Saccharomyces cerevisiae S288C: one gene and its partners. Changing the gene in region 3 together with the main gene of any one other region gives a genetic interaction. Each region holds a gene or a part of one and is shown on either strand. Other genes may lie near its edges. The genes, in order: PRP22, MSC1 and SIL1.

The links.
Region 1: mutations in SIL1 (region 3) and PRP22 together harm fitness more than expected from each alone (negative genetic interaction), as found in Saccharomyces cerevisiae (2 studies listed by BioGRID).
Region 2: mutations in SIL1 (region 3) and MSC1 together harm fitness more than expected from each alone (negative genetic interaction), as found in Saccharomyces cerevisiae (2 studies listed by BioGRID).

The regions. Positions count from the first base shown.
Region 1 is NC_001137.3:177,172-180,771, reverse strand, and holds the start of PRP22 (DEAH-box ATP-dependent RNA helicase PRP22), read right to left. Parts: upstream 1,932-3,600; coding exon 1-1,931. Other genes in the region: PRE1 (proteasome core particle subunit beta 4), read right to left, coding at 2,341-2,937.
Region 2 is NC_001145.3:15,077-18,913, reverse strand, and holds MSC1 (double-strand break repair enhancer MSC1), read left to right. Parts: upstream 1-2,237; coding exon 2,238-3,779; downstream 3,780-3,837. Other genes in the region: RSC9 (Rsc9p), read right to left, coding at 105-1,850.
Region 3 is NC_001147.6:265,695-269,519, reverse strand, and holds SIL1 (Sil1p), read left to right. Parts: upstream 1-1,990; coding exon 1,991-3,256; downstream 3,257-3,825. Other genes in the region: GAS5 (1,3-beta-glucanosyltransferase), read right to left, coding at 1-1,333; OPI10 (Opi10p), read right to left, coding at 3,351-3,825. UniProt on the Saccharomyces cerevisiae protein: Required for protein translocation and folding in the endoplasmic reticulum (ER). Functions as a nucleotide exchange factor for the ER lumenal chaperone KAR2.

The DNA of each region.
Region 1 (3,600 bases), on a different chromosome or scaffold from region 3:
GAAAATTTAGCAGAGTTCAAAGTAGCCGATGTAACTATTACTTTTAATTCTGGCCTTTTAATAGCCGCTTTCTTTAACAACGCAAATAAAACATCAGTTGCCACAGTTCTTTCGTGAGCTTCATCTAACATGATAACTGAATATTTTGACATCTCGGGATCTAACAACGCCTCTCTCTGTAACATACCATCAGTCATATATTTTATTCTGGTATCTGGGCCAGTAACATCTTCAAATCTAATGGTATAGCCAACGTCATGGCCAACTTTGCAGCCAACTTCTTCAGCCACTCTTTTAGCAACGGATACAGCGGCAACCCTACGAGGTTGGGTACATCCGATCATCCCATAGTTACTAAACCCTTCTTCATCTAAATACTGAGTAATTTGAGTGGTTTTACCCGAACCTGTCTCACCAACAATGACCAGAAATTGATTGTCACGCACAGCCTGTATCAATTCAGACCTCATCGCGTATACAGGCAAAGTTTGACGCTGTGCACTGATTGGTAAGGAAGTTCTTTTGCCATACGAGATAGATTCATTCATTCTATTTTTTTCCCATTCAGTAACAATCAGCTGGTTTTTCAACATTTGAATTTCGTTCCTGGAATCTTTTTTGTTTTTCGTAGGATCATCAAACGACTGTTGTTTCCTAATCTGTTGTTCAATCTCTCTTTTTTTCCTTAACTTTTCTTCTCTATGATCTCGTATTGCATTAGAGCCGTTGATTGCTGAACGATTCATAAATCCTCTCGGGACTTTTGTAATTTTAGGCATTTCATATTTCTTGGCCCCCTTGACTTGCTGATCCTTTAAAAATTTGGGCCCATCATCTGTATTCAGCTCGACATCAATTTCATCCGTCTCGTCTCGTTGTTGTTCTTCCAATTTTGAGTCCACTTTCTCTGTATTACCGTTAACGATACTGCCGTCATCTCTTTTCGCGGTCAAATAGGAAGTATTTATGGGTATTTCATCCTTCAATTCAGGATAGTCATCGATGGAAGCAGCACCGCTGGCAATTAGTTGGCGAATTTCCCATCTTTCTGGTGAAGTCAAAGCACGCCTTTTAATTTTGTTTTTCATATTTCTGCTTGTATGAGCATCGTTGGACCTACCTCTATCTTCGACACTTTCAGTATTTCTTTTCCGGATTTCTCCACTATGTTGATCAATATTTTTCATGGAGAGCGATATTTTTCCATTATTTTGTATTTTTATCACTTCGACAAAGATATGTTGGCCTTGTCTCACCACATCATGTGGATCTAATGTTCTTTGGTCTGACATTTCTGAAATATGAACTAAGCCATCACAATTCTTCATTCGCGTCCCAAAAATTTGGACGAAACACCCAAAAGTAGTTATGTTTCTCACTTTACCTTCATAAACTTTGTGAAGGACAGGGCTGGGGTCTAAACTTTCTATTTTTTGTACCTCTTCTTCAATCTTTGCTTCTATCTTTGCTGGTATCTTGGTGCTTGGAAGAACTGAGACTTCTTCTTTCATTACTGGTGGTGATGCAATTTGATATATCTTGAAAATTGTTTCATTATCGAGTCCGCTTTGCATCAAGTTCAGTTGTTCCTGGAACTCAGTTATTGATTTAGATTTATTCAAAATGCTCAGGACGAATTCAGTCACAACAGGGTCGTCCAAATTAACGTCATCTTTCAGTACCTGATTAATTTTTTGACTTAACGGTGAACTTTTAACTTTATTTCGTACCTTTTCTTCTTCCTGCTTTCCTAAAAATGCATTATACATCTTAATACTGTCTTCGTAGGATATACCGGCATCCAATTTTTGAATATTTCGTATAAACTCTTGTAAATTGCCGGATTTATTTATGATATTCAGCACAAATTCAATGATAACGGGGTCATCAGATCCCACAATAGCTCCTATGAGTTTCGATATATCAGACATCTCTAATATCTTTGTGTTACCTATGTTGAAAATTAGCTTCGTAGTGCGAAATATAGCGCATTAACAACATGAGATGACAGCATTTGAACAAGTAATAAACCATCTCAAAAGTACTATCGTAGCCCTACATTGCTTCTTCAAAATATTCTCATGCGGGTAACATAATTACAACTTTTCGAATTGGTTATAACGAAGCGGTATCAGCATTGATTGGGATTCATTTGCAATAGATCAGATGATATCTCACTCTGCCAACAAAAAATGAGAAATTGTCTTATTTCTGATACATTTGCTATTATAACGGATGAAAAAACTATAATAACTTTATTTAATTTTATGAACGAGGAAGATAATTACTTTAGTATATCATTAGCAATCACCTTTTCCGTGTGATTACACTGAATATCTTTCACTGTGCCTGGAAGTCATCTACTTGTCTTATGCCATCTTTATCCACGATTTTAACAATGACGCCCTTGAAGTCCATTGGCATTCTTTTTTCAAGCTCTTGTACACATAGTTTTAATAAATCTAAACCCTCCTCAGTAGTCATATCAGGTCTATAATGATGATCTAGTAAAGAGAATGTGTAAAACCCCGAGTAACCATGAGCACCATAGGGTAATTCGACTTTAGTACCCAAGTAGTCAATTTGATATAGTTCCGGTTTGTTCTTCTTTTTGTCATAGCCTCCAATCAATACGTTGACTTGGTATGGTCTTCTCGACCTAATTGACTTGGCTAATTCTTGCCTAACAAAACTAGATACTGCTTGTGGAGAGAGCTCATAATCTTCTCTAATGGAGTATAATTGGATATTGGCTTGAATGTACTCGGCGAATTGAACGGTGTCACCAGCTTCACCGGCAAAACTCATCAATGTATGTGGCGATAATTGTCTCGTTTTATCATCAGAATCTTTTAAAACAGAAATACCTCTTGTGACTGCCTTAGAAGACGCTAGAATGACAGAATCCTGTACACGGATGCCCAGAATAATATCCATTTCTTAATATATCTTTCTTAGTATTGTATATGAACCTATTTAAAAGACGTGCCCGAAGTTTGTTCTTTTTTATTCGATTGACAGGTGCTCCCTTTTCTTGTAATTGGTGTTCAATATTCACTTTTCTTTATTTTTTGCCACCGTAAAGATTTCGCTGCGAAAGATGCCCCGGCCTAGATGTAGATGACGGAGCTTTGCTGATGCAGTAATACGCATTGATATTTGAGAGGCGTCGATAGTATCATAGAGAACCTGTCAAAAGGAATTCACCGCATGGTTTTCATAAGAGATTGCGTTATGAACAGTTTTCACTACGTTAATGAGCCTCGTTCGAATGTAAATCAGAGGACTTGTGGGCAGGAAAGTTATAATTATCTCTTCAATGAACCTAAAGAAATTACATGTTCAAGACTCGGTGTTAATTTATTTTAACTACGCCGCCTGTCTGAGTCCTTATAACGTGTAGGAATGGTAAAAACGATGGAGTGCAGAGCCTTCCTACTTTTTCGCTAAAAGACTAAAAGAAGGTGGTGTTATGTTGCTGTGCGCTTCTCGGATAGTCAGAACCCAGGCTCAAACTATCAGGATTCAGCCTATTTAATTTACTACCACATCATATTCATATGAGGTATGTCAAATTATGATTGTAGCCATCAAAAAAGT
Region 2 (3,837 bases), on a different chromosome or scaffold from region 3:
TATATATTTTTTTTATAAAGAATTGTATATCTATATTTATAACACAATAAATCTAATCTCAACTTTTTTCTTTAAAGTTAAGCCCAACCGATTTTTTTTCTCATTCATAACCCCGACGTGTTTTCCATGTATTCAGACAATGCTAATGTTAAAGGTGGAATATCAGCCAATTTATGTAGAACCAGTGGCCTGATGCGTTGACAAAATGCGGAACCAGCACCATCATCCGTGTCGTTGGATAAAAGGCACAAAAACGTACAGGCCACTTTAGAAACATCTGAGAGTTCTTGAGGGAATTTGACCTCTGGTATGCTGTTTTGTCTTGCAGGTGTAATTTCCTTAGAGTCATTCAAAAATTTGGATTTTAGTGCCGAAATGGGTACCTGGGATTCTCTTTCCCCGTCTGCAATACCCAAAGCTTTAAATCTTGGTTGAATGCCCTTGATAACAAACCTTTTCTTGCCGGTTACCGGGTCAGTGATTACGATAGCAGCGGCGTTATTGAAAGCATTCGAGACATTCTTGATGAATTCCACGGCAGGTAACAATTTGCGTCCGGATTCGCGAACAGGCTGACCAAATTTGGATTCGTAGGATCTCCAAAGCGATATTTGTGTAAATTCTGCTTCTTGTACAGGCTCAAAGCAACATCTCAACCAAGCGGTTGACCTCAAGGGCTCGTTAAGTTTGAAAAGTTGTTGAAACAGATCCTCAGATAAATTGGGAGGCTCCTTTGGAGCGGGAGGCTTCAACCTTTTAATCAACCTAATTTTGTGCTTTTGCAAAAGATGGTAATCTGGTGTGGCGATATTATATGATAATAAATTAGGCAGCGTGGCTTCCAGTATCAAAGAGCACTCCTTACTCTTGAATAACTCAGTGATTCTTTGAGAACCGGGCAAAATGTATTGATAGAGGAAATCCAACGAAGCAATAATCAGCTCACTATCGCATTCTAACAGTAAAAAGGAAACGATCAACGAAAGAGTCTTATGGTCCAAATTGTCCGCTGCACTTTCCTCGTTAGCTTTGGACCTAACCAGTAATCTTGAAAGAGACCTCAATATAGAAATAACCATGTATCTGTCCTTAGTGTAGTTCAAGATGGACACCAGCGTTTGGAAATAATGATCATCCTTCATTGCAGGAGCAATATAGGACGAAATGGCCTCCATCAAGTCCAGAGTATAATGGGTCAACTCGTTAAAAAAAGTTGCATTTCCTTCGTACAATTGCCACTTGTTATCGCCTGTAGCGACGCACTGAAACTTCTTCAAAATGAAAAGAATGAAAGATTTGATTTCTCGATCCTTGACTAGTATCTGCACCGAATCAGTATCTTGAGCCAGATTCCTTAGGATCAGCAAGGCATTTAGACCCATTTGTAGAGAATCCATCGCCTTTGAATCACATATAGACGATTTGTTAAGACCTTCCACGATGCGCTCCAAAGGCAATATGAAAGTCTTGAAAAGTGGCAACAGGTCCGGCAATGTCCGTAAGCTGATCATATATGGCGCCTTGTTACTATACGTAAGATATTTTTTTAAAGACCACTTAATCTCCTCCGGTATCCCACTCAGTAACGCCATCTCCATCCTCGTCAAATCGTCTACACCTCTGGCCGTTTCCTTGGGTAGCGACTGGAACACATTAAAATTGGCCAGCGAATAGTGGATGGACTTAGTATTGGCTGCAGGTCCCGTCAGAACTCCATTAGACTGTAATCGAGACACTTTAATAGGGTTAGCCACCATTGTCTCGAACATGTTCACAGGCTCGGAGCTTGTGGCGGGTGCCTCGCTTACTGGAGTACCATTTAGCGGTGTGTTTGAAGCTAACGAGTTCATCTTCAATCTTTATTTCCACTTCTTTACAAGCTTTCTGCCTTTCTCTATGACGTCTTTCCCAAAACACTACCTCTTGACACGACTTGTTGTTTTCGTTTTTCTCTAAGAATATCACTATTTTCACTTTTTTCACCTTTTCCACCATTACGTCGGTAAGCAACAGCATTACGCCGGCCTCACCTTAGAGGGGAAGAATAAGGGATCTTTGGAACTGAAGGAAAATAAGGGAGAGGGAGGAAACAAGGAGGCGGTGAAAGGGGATCGACAGGGTATTTAAAGCCACTCATGGAGTCGTATTCCTAGCATGATTAGATTACCGGAGTTTAGAAGAGGATCTGCAATAGAAGAGGAGACAACTACAAAAGAACTGTTAATTAAGAGAAGAAGATGAAGCAATTCAAGTTGGTTAATGCGGTTTCCGCATCATTTGTGCTTATTGGCTTAGTGTTGGCCAATTCAGATTCAGTGTTCGACAAGTGGACGCAGGAAGACCTGGCCGATTATTTACGTGATAATAAGAAGAGCTTGGAAAAGTACGCTACAGACTCCATTGAGGACTTGAAAACGGAGGCATCGCAGGTATGGGACAAACACGCGCAGCCCAAACCATGGTGGCAGGTGTGGTCTAGTGACAGCAGTAGCGTGAGCAACAGTAACCCCGGATGGTTTGGTTATACTGGTTCTTCGGATCACCCAGTTTCTGACTGGCTCTTTGACACCTGGTCCACAGACAGTCTACGTAACTTCTTGAAGAAAAACGGCGTGGATGTTGACGACGCTAAGGCTTCCAAGGACTCGCTGGTGAAGACTGCTAAGGAGAACTTCAACAAGATTTCCAAATCTTTGAAGTCGTCGGGATACTATCCTTCTAGCTCTTACTTTGATAGCTGGTCAACCAAAGATTTGCAAAACTGGTTGAATGACAATGGTATCGACTACGACAAGGCAGTTCAAAGCAAGGACGAGCTAGTTCAGAAAGTCAAGGAAAACATCTACCGAACTTCAGAAAAGGCAGAACAGCAGCGTCTGGGTTTGCTAGAAAGCTTGGATTTGGCTCACCAACAAATATTAGACACATCGGGACAAATAAAAGACACTGTATTTGACAAGTGGTCTAGTGATCAGTTAACCAATTGGTTGGAGAGCCACAAGGTCAATATTGACAAGAACATGGCCAAGAAACACGACTATTTGGTTAGAATGGCCAAAGAAAATTCTGCCAATTTGAAAGATGATATCTACTGGTACCTGGACTATATGAAAAGAGAGTCTTCTCCATTTTTGACCAAGACCCCAGAATACGTTGGTTCCGTTTGGGACTCTTCTAAAAATTTCCTCACAAATTTGTACTCCAAGTTCAGAGGTAAGACTGACAATGTGATCAATGATACTTTTTTGGTTGGCCTAGACTCTTGGCCAAAGGACAAATTGAAAATGTTTTTAGATGCTCGTGGTATTAAGTACTCAATGCTGTCTACTGAACATCAATTGAGAGAATTAGTCAAAAAATCCAGAAACGAAAAACTCAAGATCCTGCCAAAAGACTACCAAAAATACTTTGACAACAGTAACTGGTCTTTGGATGACATAAAGGGTTGGTTTGCTGACAAAAAGGACGACTTCCAAGATTCTCAGACTTACTCCACAATTATGCAGGATTTTGACAAGGTTTCCAAAAACACAAATGATGCTAAGGACCAAATCGCTAAGACCTGGTCAAATACCTTTCAGAGCTGGTCTCAAGAAGACCTATTGCAGTACCTAAAATCATTCGGTGTTCCGGTTAAACAGACTTCTACGAAGGACGACTTAATCAACTTGGCCAAGCAGAATACGCAATGGTTGTTCGGCACTGTTAAGGAGCCTGCTTACAAGAGGTACCTACATAACGTTAAAAACTGGTCGAAAAGCATATTAGGGTTCAACTAATGATTGGGGTGTCAACGTAATGTACTTTTCTCCCCAATTTTTCTTTTCATCCGTATAT
Region 3 (3,825 bases):
TTAGCAAGCTCGTTTCGCTAGCAGAAGGGGAGGAGGAAGATGCCTTTGAAGTCGAGGATGATGATTCAGAAGATGAAGAAGCGGAAGATGAAGATGAAGAGGAAGAAGAGGATGAAGAGGAGGTGTCGTCGTCTTCTTCGTCGTCATCGTCCTTAGCATCACAACTTTGTTGGGTGGCGATTCCGGTTCCCATAGGAGAACCTGCTCCAGATGTGAAGTAAGCAGAAGCAGCACTTGGCATAGCAGGCAAAGTGTTATTAGCTTCCCAGACACCCTTTTCATAATCAGGACATGTAGAATAGTTGTTGGAAGTACTGTAACCACCATTGCCTTCTGGGTTGGATACTTTGCTGTATTCATTTTTCAAGTTTTCAAAATCTGTCAATTTAGTGACCTTGTCACCATCAATTTGAACGAGCCCGTAATTGTTAGTTTCATTGGAATATTCGTAGACTAGCCCACCGGAGAATACAGAAGACATTTGAGTGGAATAGATAGCTTCAATTTCTGTGAATGGACGAGAGCTCTTGACTTGGTTACAACCAAATTCACTTAAGAAGACAGGAACGGAGTAATCTTGATATAGCTTCATCTTGGTGGAATAACCCGATACCACAAATGAAGATTCACCACACCAAGAATAGTCATTAACACCAAACATGTCGATTCTAGCGTCAGCTTCATCACCACAGTTAAAGTATTCAGCAGCCAATTGTCTGTTAGCGACGATATCAGCAGCCGAGTAACCTACCGGAATTTGTCTGTATTTTCTAGCCTTGATGTATTTCTTCATGTCCCTGACCACTGCCTTGACATAAGTAGCAGTGTTGGTAGTATTAACACTATTGATGACCTCGTTACCAGCGAAAAAACCTAGAACATTGTCGTAATCAGCAAAGGTATCAATGGTGGCAAAGACATTTTGTAAGTAGTCAGCGTTATAGGAGCAGGCTGGATCGTAACGAGAAATAGCACTCGTGGGGGTATTGACATCCAGGATCAAGTATATACCGTTCTCCTGCAATAGTTTCATACAATGGGAATGATCTTGCGAGTTATCCACAGTATAAACTCTGACAGTATTTATCCCTAGATCTTTCAGAACGGGGACGTCTCTGTCACAGACAGATGCGTCTGCTAAGGGATCAGTCAAGTTAGAAGAACCACCAGGCTGGTAATCAACACCACGGATATAAAACCTTTCACCTGATTCCGAATTAAAAAATGCATTGCCTTTAATTTCAATGGATGGTGTGGAACTGTTACTGCTGCTAGCAGCCTGAGCCAAACCAGCACTTAAAACGAAGGCACTTGTAAGAGAACGTAGTAACATAGCTATTTAGAGCTGTGTGTGTAGCGAGTGATATATAATATGTTTGTTACAGCCCACTGTTTACTTTTATATACGAAATGCAACACTGTCAACAAATCAGTTCAGGGACCTTCCTATTTATAGTATAAGCAAAATAAAAGTGAAAAATTTCCTGCGGAGTTTTTTTTCTCGAGAAATTGTGAACAAAAGAAAGCAAAGACACAGAAGATGATAAGAGAGAGAAACAACGAAGAAAGAACAACAATGTTGGGGTTCACCCGAGAGATATTGACATACTGACCTTAGAAAAGGCATTACTGAGGCTACTGACTAAAGCGCGTTACATAAATGCATAGTATATTTCTTGTTGTATACGCAGCGGCCAACTAGTGGCAGCAAGAATGTAATGAACGATTCATCTGCAGGTTTGGAGGCCGCAACTAGATCAAAACGTAAATAGCGGGTGAAGTGTTCTGGACGTTAGAAGTAACGTCCGCAGATCGAAGCTAAACACGAGATTAGATTTCGGGTAACGGAATTGTGATAATTAAGAAAGACCAGACTATGTGAAAAGGCCACGTAAATGATAGAGCACACATTAGCAACTATAATAGACTAGTTTTCGCATCGCTGGAAGTTCTCGATATTGAATATCACTTCCAAGAACGCAAACTTAGAATGGTCCGGATTCTTCCCATAATTTTGAGCGCCCTATCTTCGAAATTAGTGGCGAGTACAATATTGCATTCATCCATACACTCAGTGCCATCTGGAGGCGAAATCATATCTGCAGAAGATCTTAAAGAACTTGAAATTTCAGGGAATTCGATCTGCGTTGATAATCGTTGCTATCCTAAGATATTTGAACCAAGACACGATTGGCAGCCCATACTGCCAGGTCAAGAACTCCCCGGTGGTTTGGACATTAGAATAAACATGGACACAGGTTTAAAAGAGGCAAAACTAAATGATGAGAAGAATGTCGGTGATAATGGTAGCCATGAGTTAATTGTATCTTCAGAAGACATGAAAGCATCGCCTGGTGACTATGAATTTTCCAGTGATTTCAAAGAAATGAGAAACATCATAGATTCTAACCCGACTTTATCTTCACAGGACATTGCCAGATTGGAGGATAGTTTTGATAGAATAATGGAATTTGCGCATGATTACAAGCACGGCTACAAAATTATTACCCATGAATTCGCCCTCTTGGCCAACCTTAGTCTCAATGAAAATTTGCCGTTAACATTGAGAGAGCTCAGTACTAGAGTCATTACCAGCTGCTTGAGAAACAATCCTCCTGTAGTCGAGTTCATTAATGAAAGTTTTCCAAATTTTAAAAGCAAAATCATGGCCGCTCTGTCAAATTTGAATGATTCTAACCACAGATCCTCTAATATCCTAATAAAAAGATACTTGTCCATTTTAAACGAATTACCTGTCACATCCGAAGATCTTCCTATATACTCTACGGTTGTTTTACAAAATGTATATGAAAGAAACAACAAGGACAAACAGTTACAAATAAAAGTCCTGGAGTTGATCAGCAAAATTTTGAAGGCCGACATGTACGAAAATGACGATACAAATCTAATTTTGTTCAAAAGAAATGCTGAGAATTGGTCGTCAAATCTGCAAGAGTGGGCAAACGAGTTCCAAGAGATGGTCCAGAACAAAAGTATAGATGAACTACATACAAGAACGTTTTTTGACACCCTTTACAACTTGAAGAAAATTTTCAAAAGTGACATCACGATCAACAAAGGGTTTTTGAATTGGTTAGCGCAACAATGTAAAGCCAGGCAATCTAACTTGGACAATGGGCTCCAAGAGAGAGATACTGAACAAGACTCATTTGATAAGAAACTTATCGACAGCAGACACTTGATCTTTGGCAACCCCATGGCTCATAGAATAAAAAATTTCAGAGATGAACTCTGATTTCACTGTCATTGCATATATAGTTTAATATTAATAATATTTTTTTCAATTAATATTTCGTGAATCTTATTAGAGATATATTATATATCCGTGTCTAATTTTTAGTTACTTCATCCAAAAACGTCCCGTCGTTGGCCAGTCTATTTCTAAATTTGTCCCACCATGTATCAAACCTCTTGATGGGCACGTTTCCCTGAGCATCTAGGAACCCTGATAAATAGTTATATGCATGCTGAACGATTTTGGCGGCCAATTCTTGTGTCAATGAAGGGTAAACTTGTGCCAACTGCCCTGCCGTGGTAATATTTCGAATTATTCCTAAGTTAGGTCTTGACAAGATCAATGAGTTGTTCTTTTGTGCTTCGGCATTCATGCTGGCCTTCCACTCTTCTAATTTCATCATTCCTTGTTCTCGAGGCTCAATGGAAATACCAATAATCAATTCTGATATGTTATTACTGCTACTTCCATTGGTGTCAGTAAACGGATCAGCGGCCCCCGAACCATCATCTACATCCATGTCTATCTCACCTAATCCATCACTTGTATCTCCAGCGTCTTTCTTCGAG